Linked DNA regions of Tamandua tetradactyla. The protein of the gene in region 2 interacts with the protein of the main gene of each other region in a biochemical or structural test. Links are inferred from orthologs where the notes say so. Each region holds a gene or a part of one and is shown on either strand. Other genes may lie near its edges.

Evidence for each region.
Region 1: of the proteins of CGAS (region 2) and RNF185, one has a biochemical effect on the other in vitro, tested with the Homo sapiens proteins (2 studies listed by BioGRID). The link is inferred for Tamandua tetradactyla from reciprocal best matches to the Homo sapiens genes CGAS and RNF185.

What each region holds. Positions count from the first base shown.
Region 1 is NC_135331.1:31,604,499-31,612,598, reverse strand, and holds the start of RNF185 (E3 ubiquitin-protein ligase RNF185), read left to right. Parts: upstream 1-4,958; 5' UTR 4,959-5,110; intron 5,111-5,116; exon of another isoform or gene 5,117-5,242; intron 5,243-8,100. UniProt on the Homo sapiens protein: E3 ubiquitin-protein ligase that regulates selective mitochondrial autophagy by mediating 'Lys-63'-linked polyubiquitination of BNIP1.
Region 2 is NC_135331.1:129,402,224-129,409,611, forward strand, and holds the start of CGAS (cyclic GMP-AMP synthase), read right to left. Parts: upstream 3,103-7,388; 5' UTR 2,941-3,102; coding exon 2,236-2,940; intron 1-2,235. UniProt on the Homo sapiens protein: Nucleotidyltransferase that catalyzes the formation of cyclic GMP-AMP (2',3'-cGAMP) from ATP and GTP and plays a key role in innate immunity.

The DNA of each region.
Region 1 (8,100 bases), about 98 Mb from region 2:
TCATTTGTGAAATGCAGACAATAACAATCACATAAAGTCCTTAGCACAGTGTATGGCACATTATAAACATTCAATAAATACTAGCTTCTTTTATTATTATTATTTTTATTTTTATTTTTATTGGAGTAAGGGGAAGGAGGTGGAGTGGGCAGGGGGAAGGTGAAAGTTTAGGGCTATTAAACTGAGAATCCTTGCGATACTCAGACCAAGGAGAAGGAGAAATAAGACCGCTTTTATTTATTTTATTTTTCTCACTGGAATGAATATCTTTTATTCAGCATAATTTGTTGTAGGCATCACATAATATTAAACTCATGCTACCAGGATAAATTCAAACACCGCCCACAAGGCTTTCAGGATCTATGGAGTATTCGTGTATTAAAGCAGGGAAGCTATTCCTGGATATATTTTTGAAGCTGAAGTACTTCTTCCAAGTCCGTTAGTTCCAATTCCATTATTTCTGGGGAACTTTTAATAGCAAGAATATGAAGAAATAAACAGTGCTGATTCTCTAAGACTAAAGTTTTAGGAACGGACGATTGCTTTCCAGAAGAGACCATGAGAGTGACCGTATTTGTGAGAAAGGACAAGTGGCAGTCTTTCTTTAGCGTGCCTTATGAGCCCAATAGAAAGAACAATGGGGAATATGATCAGCAAGTTTATTTTAATTGAAGACGATTGCTGTCTTTTCACAATGAAAGTCCTCGGTGACTTCTTCAAAGAAAGTAGTAGCTCAAACATGAATTTTTTAAAAAATATCTGGAGCGCTCACTCTGGTCTAAATCTGTTCCAGGTATTCTTACAATAATCTTTTGAGATCAGAAGAAATCTTCCCATTTAATAGATGAGAAAACGGAGGCGTCTGTAAGTCATGTATCTAGCGAGAGATCGATGACCTCTAGCCAAAGACCACCAGAAACGCAACTGTGGTTGAACAAGTTGGCTTTGTTATTCCTTGCAGTGAAGGGGAAATGCAACCCATGGGAAACAACGGGACGTCTCAGTAATAGAATGTTAGAAAGGACTCATAAGTGGTCTTGAAGAGGATTTGTGGAAGTGGGGCATTGCTCTGGATTGGATGCCATGAGTGGGTATCTTTTTTTATTTAATTTATTCATTAATTTAAAAAATTAAGAACAAACAAAAACATTAACATATCATTCCGTTCTACATATATAATCAGTAATTCTCAATATCATCACATAGTTGCATATTCATCATTTCTTAGAACACTTGCATCAATTCAGAAAAAGAAATAAAAAGACAACTGAAAAAGAAATAAAACAATAACAGAAAAAAAAAAGATTATACATACTATACCCCTTACCCCTCACTTTCATTGATCACTAGCATTTCAAACTAAATTTATTTTAACATTTGTTTCCCCATTCCTTATTTTTATTCCATATGTTCTACTTGTCTGTTGACACGGTAGATAAAAGGAGCATCAGACAAGGTTTTCACAATCACACAGTCACATTGTGAAAGCTATATCATTATTCAATCATCCTCAAGAAACATGGCTACTGGAACACAGCTCTACATTCTCAGGCAGTTCCCTCCAGCCTCTCCACTACATCTTGAATAACAAGGTGATATCTACTTAATGTGTAAGAATAACCTCCAGGATAACCTCTCAACTCTGTTTGGAATCTCTCAGCCATTGAAACTTGGTCTCATTTCACTCTTCCCCCTTTTGGTCCAGAAGGTTTTCTCAATTCCTTGATGCTGAGTCTAAGCTCATTTCAGGATTTCTGTCCCACGTTGCCAGGAAGGTCCACACCCCTGGGAGTCATGTCCCACATAGACAGGAGGCGGGTGGTGAGACTGCTCGATGTGCTGGCTGGAGAGAGAGGCCACATCTGAGCAACAAAAGAGGCTCTCTTGGGGGTGAATCTTAGGCCTAAATTTTAAGTAGACTTGACCTGTCCTTTGTGGGGTTAAGTTTCACATGAACAAACCCCAAAACTGGGGGCTCAGCCTACAGCCTTGGCGGTCCACACTGATGAGCAGGTATCTTAATAAATCTTATCTAGAAAGAGGGAAAACTAGGCTGAAGCTAAAGCTGTAATTGGTAGAGACATAACAATTTCCATATGAACCAGGAGAGGGAAATGTTCGATTCTTTTCGTGGTTTGGACAATGCTCGTGTTTTGTCTGAGTTCAGACATGACTGTGGTATTGTCATCTTTCAAGCCTGATCCACAGAGTGGCCTTTTCTGATATTGATGGTCTATGAAATTGTCTGTGTTTAACAGAACAACAACGCAGGCAATCTGTGAGTGCCAGTTCACAGTAACTCAAGGCTTGGGTGCCAGGCAGATTCCTAGTGTCAGGAGCTACTTTTCTCTCTGAGAGGCTGGACTCCAATCCAGATTTTCCTAACTGGAAACATTCCCTGTGCTACCCCTTGTTCATAGGAACCACAGAGAAGGCTGATAATTGAGGAAACTCAGAACACCAGCCTCTGGGAGCTAAGCAGATTCATCTCTCAGTTAATTTCATCTATTAGCTTCACCCCAAGTCAGGCCCAATCTCTTATAGTGTCTGGGATCATTGTATACGCTTAATAAATGTTTACTGAAGGAATAACATGACGAAGATGGTGTTCTAGTTTGCTAGCTGCCAGAATGCAATATACCAGAAACAGAATGGTTTTAAAAAGGAGGAATTTAATAAGTTGCTAGTTTACAGTTCTAAGGCCAAGAAAATGTCCCAGTTAGAACAAGTCTATAGAAATGGCCAATCAAAGGCATCCAGGGAAAGACACCTTGGTTCAAGAAGGCTGATGAGGTTCAGAGTTTCTCTCTCAAGTGGAAGAGCACATGGCGAACCCAGTCAGGGTTCCTCTCACATCTGGAAGGGCACATGGCAAACACGGCGTCATCTGCTAGCTTCTTCTCTTGGCTTCCTGTTTCATGAAGCTCCCCGGAAGGCGTTTTCCTTCTTCATCTCCAAAGCGCTGGCTGATGGACTCTCTGCTTTGTGGTGCTGCAGCGTTCTCTTCCCTCTTTGAAACTCTCATTCTCCAAAATGTTTCCTTTTTTATAGGACTCTAGTAAACCAATCAAGACCCACCCAAATGGGTGGAGACACGGCTCCCCTAATCCAGTTTAACAACCGCTCTTAATTGGGAGACATCTCCAGGAAGATGATCTATCTACAGATTCAGACATACAGTATTGAATAGGGATTATTCTGCCATTTTACGAAATGAGATTTTGATTAAAATATGGCTTTTCTAGGGGTCCATACATTCTTTCAAACTAGCATAGATGGGTATCAAGAATTCAAGAGAACAACCGCCTGGGTTGAAATCCCAGCTCTACCACCTATCGGTATGTGACATGAAAACTTAACTTTTTATAGAATGATAAAATCGTGCAAACTTTTAAACCTTAACCCATTTGTAAAATGGGGTAAGCACCAAATGCACTCATAAGGCTGCTTCCTGTGATGATCAAATGAAACATTCTGTGTACTGTGCTGAAAAAGGCTCACTAAATGTTAGCTATGATTATTTTAAGTAGCCAATTAGTTGAGTGATTACATGTGTAATATATTTCCCACTAGATTTGCAAGCAAAGATCTTGTCTCTTGCTGTATAACCAGTCCCGGGTACAGGAGTTGGCATGTGGAAAGCAATTAATGTTTGATAGATAAATATATGAATGAGCTAGGACCCAGGCAATTCCACACTTCCCATTTCTTGGCAAGTTTTTCTTTTTATTTCTTTTTTCACAGAAAAGTCACAAAATTTATACAAGAAACCCCAAAATATGCTTTAACTAGATTTTCTTTAAAATTGTTTACATTTTGCTTTATTTGCTTAACCATTCTACATATCCATATAAATATACCCACAACACTTTTCTGAATTTTTAAAAGTTGGTGACATTGTACCCCTTACTTCCTAAATATTTCAGTGAATATTTCCAAAGAACCAGGATGTTTTCTTAATATAACACAGTACAATGATAAAAACTCAGAAAATTTAACATTGATACCATACATATTAGTAGTTATTCTGCAACCCTTATTCAAATGTCATCACCTGTGCCAGTATTATCCATTACAACTATTTTTCCCTTCTAACCTAGGATTCAGTTTAGCACTGCACATCACATTTAGTTGTCATGTCTCTTTAGTAACCTTTTGACTGCAAAATTTCCTTAGTTTTTCTCTGTCTTTCATGCCCCTGACATTTTTGAAGAGTATAGGTCAGTTATTTTGTAGAATGCCTCTTGATTTGGGTTTGTCAGAGGCTTCCTCCTGAGGTTGGGACTATGCATTTTCAGCAGAATTATCAGAGAAGAGATGCTGTGTCCTTTTCAGTGTGTCTTATTAGGAGACACATGATATCCACCTGACCCTTTCCTGATTATGTCAACTGTGATTACTTTGATCATTTTTTTCTACTAGGTTTTTGCCTCTATAAAATTACTCATTTTCCCTTTGTCATTAATTGGTAATTTATAGGAGACCCTTTTATTTTGTAAGTATCCTATGTCTCTAGTTTTGCCATCTACTGTTGATTTTCTAATTCTATCATGATTATTAGTTGGCATTCTACTATAAGAAAGAACTTTCCCTTCTTCCCCTTTCATTTACTTACTCACGTCTTTAGGTCAGTAAAGACTCATGGATTACTACTTTACTCACTTGGCTATAACCCAATAATATTATGTCTTTTGATGCCCAGATTATCCTTTTGAGTTAGCTCCTGTGTCCTAGGACACTTCCTCACATTCTTGTGCAACAGATGTTTTAGGCTCATATGAGGCTTTCCTCGTCCCAACCCTACAATCGACTTCTTCATGGAACCCCGATTTCAGGTTACGTGGGAAACATTCAATTGTCCCTGCATTCCTACGCTTCCTGCCGGCAGACGGAACCTTAGATCCGGGGGCCTAGGCAGGAAGTCAGTGCGTCGGACCCACCTTTTCCAGTTGGAGCCGGAAGTCCCTGTAAGGGGGGGCGGGTCCGCGTCAGGTGACCGGAGTTCGCGTGGGAAGGATCGTAGGTCCGTCCGGACCAACTGACTGGACAGACGGCAAATAGGCCACCGGCTGGCGTGTCCTTGGTGGCGTTATCTGCGCGGAGGAAGCAGGTATGTGGGAGCCGGGGCAGTGGCTAGGGACCGTCGAGGTTGGGGATCGAGGGACTATGTTGGGACTTCCGGAGGGCCGCGGGTCCCAGCGACAGCAAGCCCAGCCTTGCCCCGGGCCCTCCGCCTCAGCAGGTAGGTCGTGTTGACGTTGTGGTCTTCTTATGATTACAGATTGAGGAAACTGAGGCCCGAGAAGGAGCGGGGCTCCCGCGGGCTGTCCCATCCAGGCAGAGACTTACCTTACCCTAAGTTTCTTTTTGGCCCCCGCGCGGGGCTGCTTTCCTCAAGTGAAGGGACTTTTAACGAGTTTGTCCCGAGTGGAAAATCCGAGGCCGGGAAGCGTGTTGAACAGAGTTGTTTGGGAGTCAAAGACGTAAATTCTAGAACTCGCCGCTCACAGCTGGTTGTGCAGTTTTGACCAGATCCCTTCCTTGTGCTGGACCTCAGTTCCTCGCTTGTAAAGTGGGACAGTGTTTCTTTTTTTAAAAATTTTTTTTGTTTTTATTTTTTTTTTTACATGGGCAGGCACCGGGAAAACGAACCCGGGTCCTCAGACATGGCAGGCAAGCACTCTTACCTGCTGAGCCACTATGGCCTGCCCGGGACAGTGTTTCTCTTAATATGGTTGTACACCAAATGCTTCGAGATCTGCCAGGATACATGCTTTAAGATATAGATTTCTGGGCCGCATTTCAGGCCTCTGATTTAGAATCTCGATAGAAACTTGGGATTCTGCAGTTTGAACGTACTCTGGGGCATCCTGCAAGTACTGATTTTTGAAACCCATCGATCTTAAGTACTTCTTGCTGTGAAGACTTGATATCCATTTTTCGCTTTGAGGCAGCTGGAATCTGCAGAATCTTGAAAGAATGGGATGTTTAGTTGAGAAAAGACAGTACTGGAAGGGTACTGTGTTCAAATACTGAAGAATTACTATGGCAAAGAGGGCTCCTACGTCATCTTTGAGGATGAAAGAGACAGAACTAGGACCAATAGGTGAATTCTACTGGAAGATGAGATTTTGACTTAATAGAAGGATTTAATGGAGGAACTGTCAGAGGTGACCATCAATGGAATGGATTACCTCAAGAGGAAGAGAATTCTCTCTTGACAGAAGTTTACCAGTATTAGACTGAAGTCCTTTCTAACTTGAAAGTCTCTGATTCTAACTAGTTATTTTGACTCTTTCTGATACTGACTCTGCCCACAGGGTAAATGTGTTGTTTCTTTTTTCTGCCTCCTTTTCTTGAACCCCACCCCCACTCTCCATGCAGATCTCCTGGGAGCAGAGTCTTATGACCTTAAGTAATTTTTTCCTCCTTGTTCTGTGAACCATTCTTCTTTTCAGGGACTTTGGAATGGCCCAACATCTGATCCTGGCTCCTTAAATGTTTACTGAATGAAAGCAGGATGTGTTCCCCATTGTTTAGTAGCTTATTTTCTAAGGACACCTTAGAAATGCCCTTAAGTCTTTGCATTTGATCAGGAAAAGCCAGTGAGCTCTTTGGATCACAGAATTGAGGACTCTTGCTTGGAAGGGCCTCTTGAGGTTGTTCAGGCCAACTTCTCCTTCCTGGGACATAAATCCCTTTTTAATCCTCTCTTTTGCAGTGTGTGGTGTATTGTGCCAAATGAGAGAATTTTTGCATTTTGTTGCTAACTTTTCATCCAGTATAAAAAGTCAGTTTTCTGGATTTGACTTGCTGGTTCATTCTCACTTACATGTAATCTACGTATAATGTTTCTAGTATTTCATTAGTTAATCAAACATCAAAACTCCTTCCAAGTAGATCACTTAAAAGCCTGGTAGAATGTTTAAGTTGCTCTATGGGCAGAGATTCCATGTTATGACCCTATTCTGCTGACCTGCCAAAAAAAAGGTTGGGATTGAGCCAAGACTTCCTGCCTGTGTTTATCTACTTGCTTGTTTATGTTTCCTAGGACTTAAAAAAATTGTGAAATATTTGTTCAGATATTATCTAGGTGCTGGGTACAGTGATTTTAATTTGGTGGTGGGGAGATAAGTATTTTTGAAACGTCTCAGTTTGAAAGTTCCCCTTTGAAGAAGTACCTAAATTGGCTTTTCTTAAGTGTGTTCTTCAGACCAGTGGTCTGAAGAGATGCCTCTGAAAAAAATGGTTCTGTGGTAAAAATAAGTTTGGGAAAAATTTTTTACTATTATCCCTTCTTGGAGGTTCTCAGTGTATAGTACCACGTTAAAAGCGCTGGGAAGTCCTACAATAATTTTGTTTAATGTAGCTTTGTCAAGCTTATTTGATATGAAACTTTTTTTTTATGAGGCACACATTGGTATATTCTGACCTAAAGCGCAGGGGTCTGCAAACTATTGCCTTAAGGACCAAATCTGGCCATATTGTCTATTTATGTATGGCCCATGAGGTAAGAATGGTTTTTACATTTTTAAATGGTTGATAATAAATCAAAAGAAGACAGTTTCATGATTGTGAAAAATTATGGAAAACTCAGATATTAGTATCCATAATAAAGTTTTATTGGAACTCAGTCACACCCATTCATTTACATGTTATCTTTGGCTACTTCAATGCTACAGCTGCAGAGGTGAGTATATGCCTGAGAGAGCATATGGCACACAAAGCCTGAAGTATTTATTATTATATGACCCTTTACAAAAAAAGAAAATTGCTGACATCTGACATGCATTATTATAATTTTTAACTTTTTGTTTTGAAATAATTTTTGACTTAAAAATGTCACAAAAATAATACTCAAAGTTCCTGAATACCCTCCAGCTATCTTCCCCTAATGTTAACATCTTATGTAACCATATTAAAATTATCTAAACAAGTAAATAAACACTGGTGCAGTGCTACCAACTAATCTATAGACCTCATTCAGATTTTGCCTTTTGTTTCGCTAATGCCCTTTTTCTTGTCCAGGACCCAATTCAGGATCCTACATTGCATTTAGTTGTCACATCTGCCTAGTCTTTTCCAACTTGAAGCAGTTCC
Region 2 (7,388 bases):
ATGGCAGCATCTGCTGGTCTCCCTTCTCTTTCAGGCTTCTTTGCTTACAGCTTCTGGCTTCAGTGGCTTCCCCTCTGTTTCTGTGGCTTTCTCTTTCAACTTCTCTGTCTTTCTCTTTCAGGATCTGTGGATTTTTCTCTCAGCTTCTGTCTTTTTCTCTGTTTTTTGTGTTTTTCTCTCTGAGGTTCTGTGTCTTCCTCTCTGAGCCTCTGTGTGTTTATCCTCTTATAAAGGACTCCAGTGAGAGGATTAAGATCCACGTGGAGCATGTCTCAATTGAAATAACCAAATCAAAAGGTCCTACTTACAACAGGTTTACACCCACAGGAAGGGATTAGTATTAAGGAAATGATCTTCTTGGAACAATGCTGCCTCCAAACCATCACAACCCCAGACAGAAACTCTGCACCCATTAAGCACCAACTCCCCACCCTACATATATACTACCTCTTGCTTAGTCAGTAAAATAATAATAATAATAATAATCAATAAATGTTTTAAATAAATTTACTAAATTTAGCTCCATCAATGTGATTTTAAAAAGGAGAGTGAGGGAACATGGGTGGCTCAGTGGTAGAATGCTCACCTGCCATGCACCTGGAAGACCCAGGTTCAATTCCTGGCCCATGCACGGATTACCTCCCCCACCAAAAAAAGGAGAAAAAAGGAGAATGGATCCTATTGGAGGCTGTTCTCTAAATCTCCTGTTGTTCTCTAGTCCTAACAACTTTCTTTTTCCTTTGGACCCTCTATATAATTGAACTGAATTGAAACTTACACAATTAGAATCATGCTCAAGACAGTCTTATGAAATTTTCCTCATGTGGCTTTCAAGAAACTTTTAGACCGAACTATGAGTGGTCTTCAGTGCTAAAAGAGTTTAAGATCCAAAGACCAATACACACACCGTCTTTTTTCCCTACATACACTGCCTTTTTTACAATCAACAAATGTCACTAAATCAGCACCACTGAAATAAGCAGCTGCAGAGGGTACAAACATTTTGGTGTAAGCACTCCACAATAATGTAGTGTACAATCTAGGTGGGAGGCCAAATCAAAAATATATGAAAGGTTTAATCTCCACTGAAGGCTACCAGGTTAAATTCTTATCATGGGAATTAAATGTGACTTTGCTACCCTGAGAAGGCATGGGTCTTGAGAGAGATCACCCATCCTTTCTCCTGGAGCCCATTCATTCATTCAGTCCATTCTCTTGAGTGCTTGCTATACCACTGGGCTTAGTGATACAAAGATGCATAATATTTGCCCTGCTCTCTTAAGAGTTTATAACCCTAAAGCCCTAAATCCAGAATTTGATAATCACTCTTTTTCTAGAGGAGAGCAGTTAGTTGAATAAAGCGAATATGCAACTCTAAAATAAATTACAACTAGTTAATAAAGATATGCTATCAGCCTCTATTTCTGTTCATACTTTACTTACAATCTTACACAGATCTAAAGTGCACCACCCAGCACTCAAAAAAACTGGCAGACAGCTGAAAACACAATCAAAGAAATCTGCCACTGCTCAGGCAGCCAACTCAGTTTCAGGAACGTACTCCTGAACATCAATTTATACTGCAATGACTATTTTAATGACTTTAACCACCTACAAACAGTTGGAACAGTTTAAAAGCAACTATATCAGTGTATTTACAAACTATGTTTTTTAATACCAATATGAGTTTTTCTTTTGATGTCTTTAACTTCACTTACTGAGCTTCCCATGACATCTGTATCAGAAATGCAGGAGGGGACAGAAAATATTTTCCCTATAGAGTACATATCTCCTTCTCACAGTAAAAAGTCTCTCAGATATAATAATTACGTGAAATTCCTCACAGACCATCCAAATCATGCAAGTCAGAACTGACCTGGATCCTCACTTACCACCAAGTACATAGCACTGTTACATAAAAACTCAATACAAGTGCGCCTGCATGAATGAATCTATACATTGGAATTCATCCAAAAGCAGTGTCTCGTGAGTAGCTGGCACTACATATTGGTTGGTTGGATGATCGTGGGATAGTCGGATGAACAAAGGAAATGTTTGTCCTTGTAACTAGAATTGTGTCACAGGCCACGGAAGAACAAGAGCCTGAGGGAAGTGAAGGAGTGGGAGCCCAGGAGTGGATGGGGGTAAATATCGGAGAGGCTGGGGAGAGAGAGCAGGGTGAGAAAGTTGGGGCCGCACGTCGCGGAACCGGAGGGCTGGCGCTGGACAGCTCACCTTCACGCGCTCGTAGTAGCTTCCGGTGCGCAGAAGCGCGACGCCTTTGAATTCGGACTCGCAGCTCTGCAGTCTCTTCACCAGATGGTCCAAAATCCTGTTCACGATTTCAGCAGCCGCCGAGATTTCCTGGCGGCTCAGCTTCAACTTCTCCAGCACCGCGCGGGGCCTCCAGCCCGCTTGCACCGCCTCCTTCCGGCCCAAGCGAGGCGCCGGGACCAGCGGGCCGGGGATGGGTACCTCCTTGGGCCTTGGCTCGGGTTTCCGCCCCAGAGCGGAGGACGCGCGCTCTTGGCGGCCAGATCCAGCCCCGGGAAAGGGCGTCCCCGGGACAGCTAGGTCCGCAAGAGTCACCTGTTCCTCCACCGAGGCCTCGCCGGTAGCGCCCAAGGACTGCGCATCCTCAGCTCCTAGAGGTGCCTTCTTGGTGCGTGACCCCCGCGCGCGAACCTTTGGCCTTTCCTGGAGGTCCGGGGCGCTCTTCTTCCGCAGGGATCCCGAGGAGCCGCATCTCCCGGCGCTGGGCTGAGCGACCCCCGGGGTGAACGCAGACTCGTTGGGGTCTTCCAGAGCGCTTCTCGCATTCCGCGCGGAGCCTTTGGCCGCGGAGCCTTTGGGCGCGGAGTCTTTGGACGCGGAGACTTTGGGCGCGGAAGCTCCGGCCTTTGAGGCGAACCGCTTCACCTTTTCGCGGCCGATGTCCATGGCGGACTCTCCTGGCTCCGGGAGAGAAGACTCCGCAAGTGGAAAAGCCCACGCGGAAGAGGAACTAGCTGACGCGGTGGGAAATGAAACTTAAAACTCTGGCGGGAAGACAGACCAAGCTCTGCCGGCAACTTGGGAGCAAGACTGAAAGGGAAGTCACGCTGGAGGTGTCAGAGAGCCCCGCCCCGCCGCGAAGGGGCCGTCGCCCAGGCGCTCCTAGAGACGCTAGTTTTGTCACCCAGCTGGGCCAGCCGTGCCACTGACTTTGGAACCAAACATACTTAAGGGGAGGGACCCAGGAAACTATGTAGATGGTTTCGCGAGGACTTTGGTCGCCAAACCCATTTGCAGGTATACTGCCTAAAAGAATTTTGAAAAACTACGTACCTTCTTGCACAGATAAAAATTTGGGTATGTTTGACTGAGGGTTTTGAGGTTTTTTTTGGTTTGCTTTTTAATTAAGGGAAGTAGAAAATGTTTAATTTTTACAGGGTGGAATGAGGTGAGGATTGGTGATGTGTAGAATGAATATTTCATTTTATTTGACTTATGAAAGCACACAGAAGTCTTAACAATTGTGTAGTTTTTCTCCACTTGTCTAAACTGTTCTCTAATGTATGCAAAAAAAACAGCAGTTACATTTTAGCATACACATGTACTTTTACTAAATATACTCCTGTCCCCTCACCATTTTGTTTTTGCATTTTACAAATTATATCTCTATAAATTTTATATCTAAAGCCATAGATTTATCATTACTTTTATGCATTTACATTTTAGAACCTGTAATAAGGTGTAAGAAGTAAAAAGTGGAGTTGCATACCCCAAAAATACAATATAATTGTACCACCATTTATAATTACTCATATGATTACCTTTACCGCAAATCTTTATCTCTTTATGCTGCTTTGCACCACTGTCTAGGGTGCTTTCCTCTCAGTCTGAAGAACAGCCTTTAGCACTGTTTGTAAGGAAGGTCTAGTGGTCATGAACTCCCTTAGCTTTTCTTTATCTAGGAATGACTTAATCTCTCCCTCATTTTTGAATGAAAGGATTGCGGAATGTAAAATTCTTTGTTGGCTATCGTTTTCCTTCAACATTTAAAATATTGCAATCTGCTTCCTTCTTGCTCCCATGGTTTCTCATGAGAAATTGGCGTTCAATCTGATTGGGACTCCCTTGTACATAACTCACTGCTTGTTTCCTGCAGCTTTCAGAACTAACCTCTGTACTTGATCTTTGCATTTAACAGTTTGAATGATATGTGATGGAGTACATTTTTCTTCAAATTTATCCCGTTTGGTGTTCTCTGTGCTACTTGCGTGTGCATATTCATATATTTTACCAAGTTTCAGAAATTTTCTGTCATTATTTATTTGAATACTCCTTCTGCCCCTTTCTCTTTTTCTTCTCCTTCTGGGACTTCCATTATGCATATATTTAGTATGCTTGATGTTGTCCCAAATGTCTCTTAGGCCATTTTTCACTTTTTAATATTCTTTTTTCTTTTTGGCCCTTTTCCTTAATCTTTTCAATTGTGTTGTCTTCCAGGTTACTGATTCTTTCTTCTGCCAGTTCTTCTATGCTGTTGAAATCCTCCTAGGAATTTTTCATTTCAGTTATTCATCAACTCCAGTACTTCTGTTGGGTTCCCTTTTTTTTTCTTAGTATTTTTATTGAGAAATCTTCACACACATACTTTCCATATGTGACATACAATCAATGGCTCACAGTATCATCACAAAGTTGTGTATTCATCATCATGATCATTTTTTAGAACATTTGCATCACTCCAGAAAAAGAAATAAAAAGAAAAAAGAAAAAACTCATACATGTCATACACCTCACCCATCCCTCTCATTGATAACTAGTATTTCCATCTACCTACCCAATTTGCTTTATACTTTGTCGGTTAGGTTCCTTTTTAAAAATTTCTTTCTCTTTATTGAGATTCCCAATTGTTTATTCATTGTCTTCCTCATATGCTTTAGTCCTCTCTCCATGTTTTCTTTTATCTCCTTCAGCATATATGAGGATCTTTTTTTTGAGTCTTTGTCTGTTATGTCCAAAGTCCAGTCCTTTTCATTGATAGTTTCTAGAGTTTATGTTGTTCCTTTGGACATTTCTTGTTTCTTTGTCTTAAAATCTTTTGTTGTGCACTGTATACTTTGATATTTTTAAAGTGTTATCTCTGGTATTTAGTACATGAGCTGTCTTTTCCTAAGTTTGTCTCCAGATGGTGATATGACAGAGAATTCCTTGAGTGCCAGGAGCTAATTAAAACAAACAAACCAAAGTAAAAATCACCGTTTACAGTCTTTGCAAATAGGCTCTGCATTGGCTAGTGGGTTCTGTGCTGGTTTGAAAGTATTCTGTACCCCAGAAAAGCCATGGCCTTTAATCCTGATTCTGTATTGTATCTGGAAAACTTAGATTGTTTCCATGGAGATTGACCCACTCAGTTGTGGGTGTGGCCTTTTGATTACTCTACAGAGATGTGACACACCCAATTTTTATTAGATGGAGATATGACTCCGCCCATTCAAGGTGGGTCTTGATTAGTTTACTGAAATTCTTTAAAAGAGGAGACATTTTGGAGAAAACACAGTTACTTCAGAGACACAGACATTTGGAGATGCTTGGAGTGCCAACAGAGAAAGCAGACACCTAGATACAGACATTTGGAGATGCAGAGCCCAGCAGATGTCATCATGTACCTTCCCATGAGATGCTAAGAAAGCCAGAACCCAGAGTTATGTCTCAGAGGAGCTAAGTGAAGGCCCATAGAGGCTTAAAGAGGAAACCCCTAGCATCAGAAGCTGGAAGCAGCAGAACTTAGAACAAGGACCAGCAGATGCTAGCCATGTGCCTTCCGATGTGACAGATATCAGCCTTTCTTGAGTCAAGGTATCTTTTTACGGATGCCTTAGTTAGGACATTTTTATGGCCTTTAATGATGAACTTTAACAAATCAGAACAGATTTTGGTACCAGAGAAGTGGGGTGCTGGAGTGCACAAATGATCAACATGTTGGAACAGCTTTTTAAATGGATAAGTTGAAGACTCTGGAGAAATTGTGAGGAGCTTGACAGAGAAGACCTACAATGCTTTGAGGAGAATGTTGGTGGAAATGTGGATTCTAAAGATACTTCCAATAAGACCTTAGACAGAAATAATGGATGTGTTACTGCAAACTGGAAGGAAGGTGACCCCTGTTTAAAAGTGAAAGAGAATCTGGGAAAATTGACTACTGGTGTTGGATGGGAGGCAGAATTTAAAAGTGGTGAGCCAGGGTACTTAGCAGAAGAGATATCCAAACTAAATGTGGAAAATGTGGCCTGGTTTCTCTTGCAGCATATAGTGAAATGTGACAGGAAAGGGATAAGCTAAGCACTGAACTCTTGAATATAAAGAAACCAGAAATTGGTGGTCTGGAAAATTCTGGGCTTCCAGAAAGGAAGACCCCAGAGAATAGTGCCCCATGTGAGGATTTTACTAAACATGAAACAAGTCAGACATTTCAGAAAAAGCAAGTGTGGTAGTTAGGTTCAGGTGTCAACTTGGCCAGGGGATGATGCCCTATTGCTCTGTTTCTATGGACTTAAATCAGTGGTATATCTATGGCTGATTATATTTGCAGTCAGCCAGGAGGAGTGGCTTCCAGAATAAGTAAGCTTTAATTTAATTAACTAGAGGCTTAAAAGAGAGAGGTCAGAAGAGAGCTCAGCAGCTCAGCATACTCATCTCCACACTCACAGTTCAGCCCAGACATATGGAGATGCAGAAAAGAATCACCCTGGGAAAGCCGATGGAACACAGGAGGCAGGAGAGAAGGCCAACAGAAATTGCCATGTGCTTTCCTATGTAACTGAGAACATCAGATGAAAGTTAGCTGCCTTTCTTCTGAAGAACTAAAAATTTTTAACTAAATAAATCCCCTTAATAAAAGCTGATTCAGAATCAAACCCCAACTTCCAGGAAGATGGCCAACTAGAGCAGCTTGAGATTAGCCCTGCTCCATGGAGAAGTTAAAGAACGGACAGGAGGATAACTGAGGCAGCAATTCAGGAGTGCAGCTGACCTGGGAGAGCCTTCTGCACCACATGTGGCAGCCCTGGTTGCAGAGCCCAAAGAACTGAGAGGCAGAAAGGTGGAACCTGGTGTGGAGGCATGGAGTGGTGGAGCCTGTGGGAGTGCACAGACAAGTACATGGGACTAGGAAGTAAGCCAGGACACATTCCTTGGGCGCACTGCCCTCACCGGCATAGCCCCATGACCGGCTACTCACCCCACACCCCACACCCCATGCACCTGAACCTTACTTGCACCCATTCCCTGTGCTCTAGGGACCCTGACCCCACCAGCCCCCAGTGCATGTACCTGCCCCACACCCACACCCCAAGTACAGCCCAACCCACTTCTCCTACACCCCTTCCAAGCACTGCCTC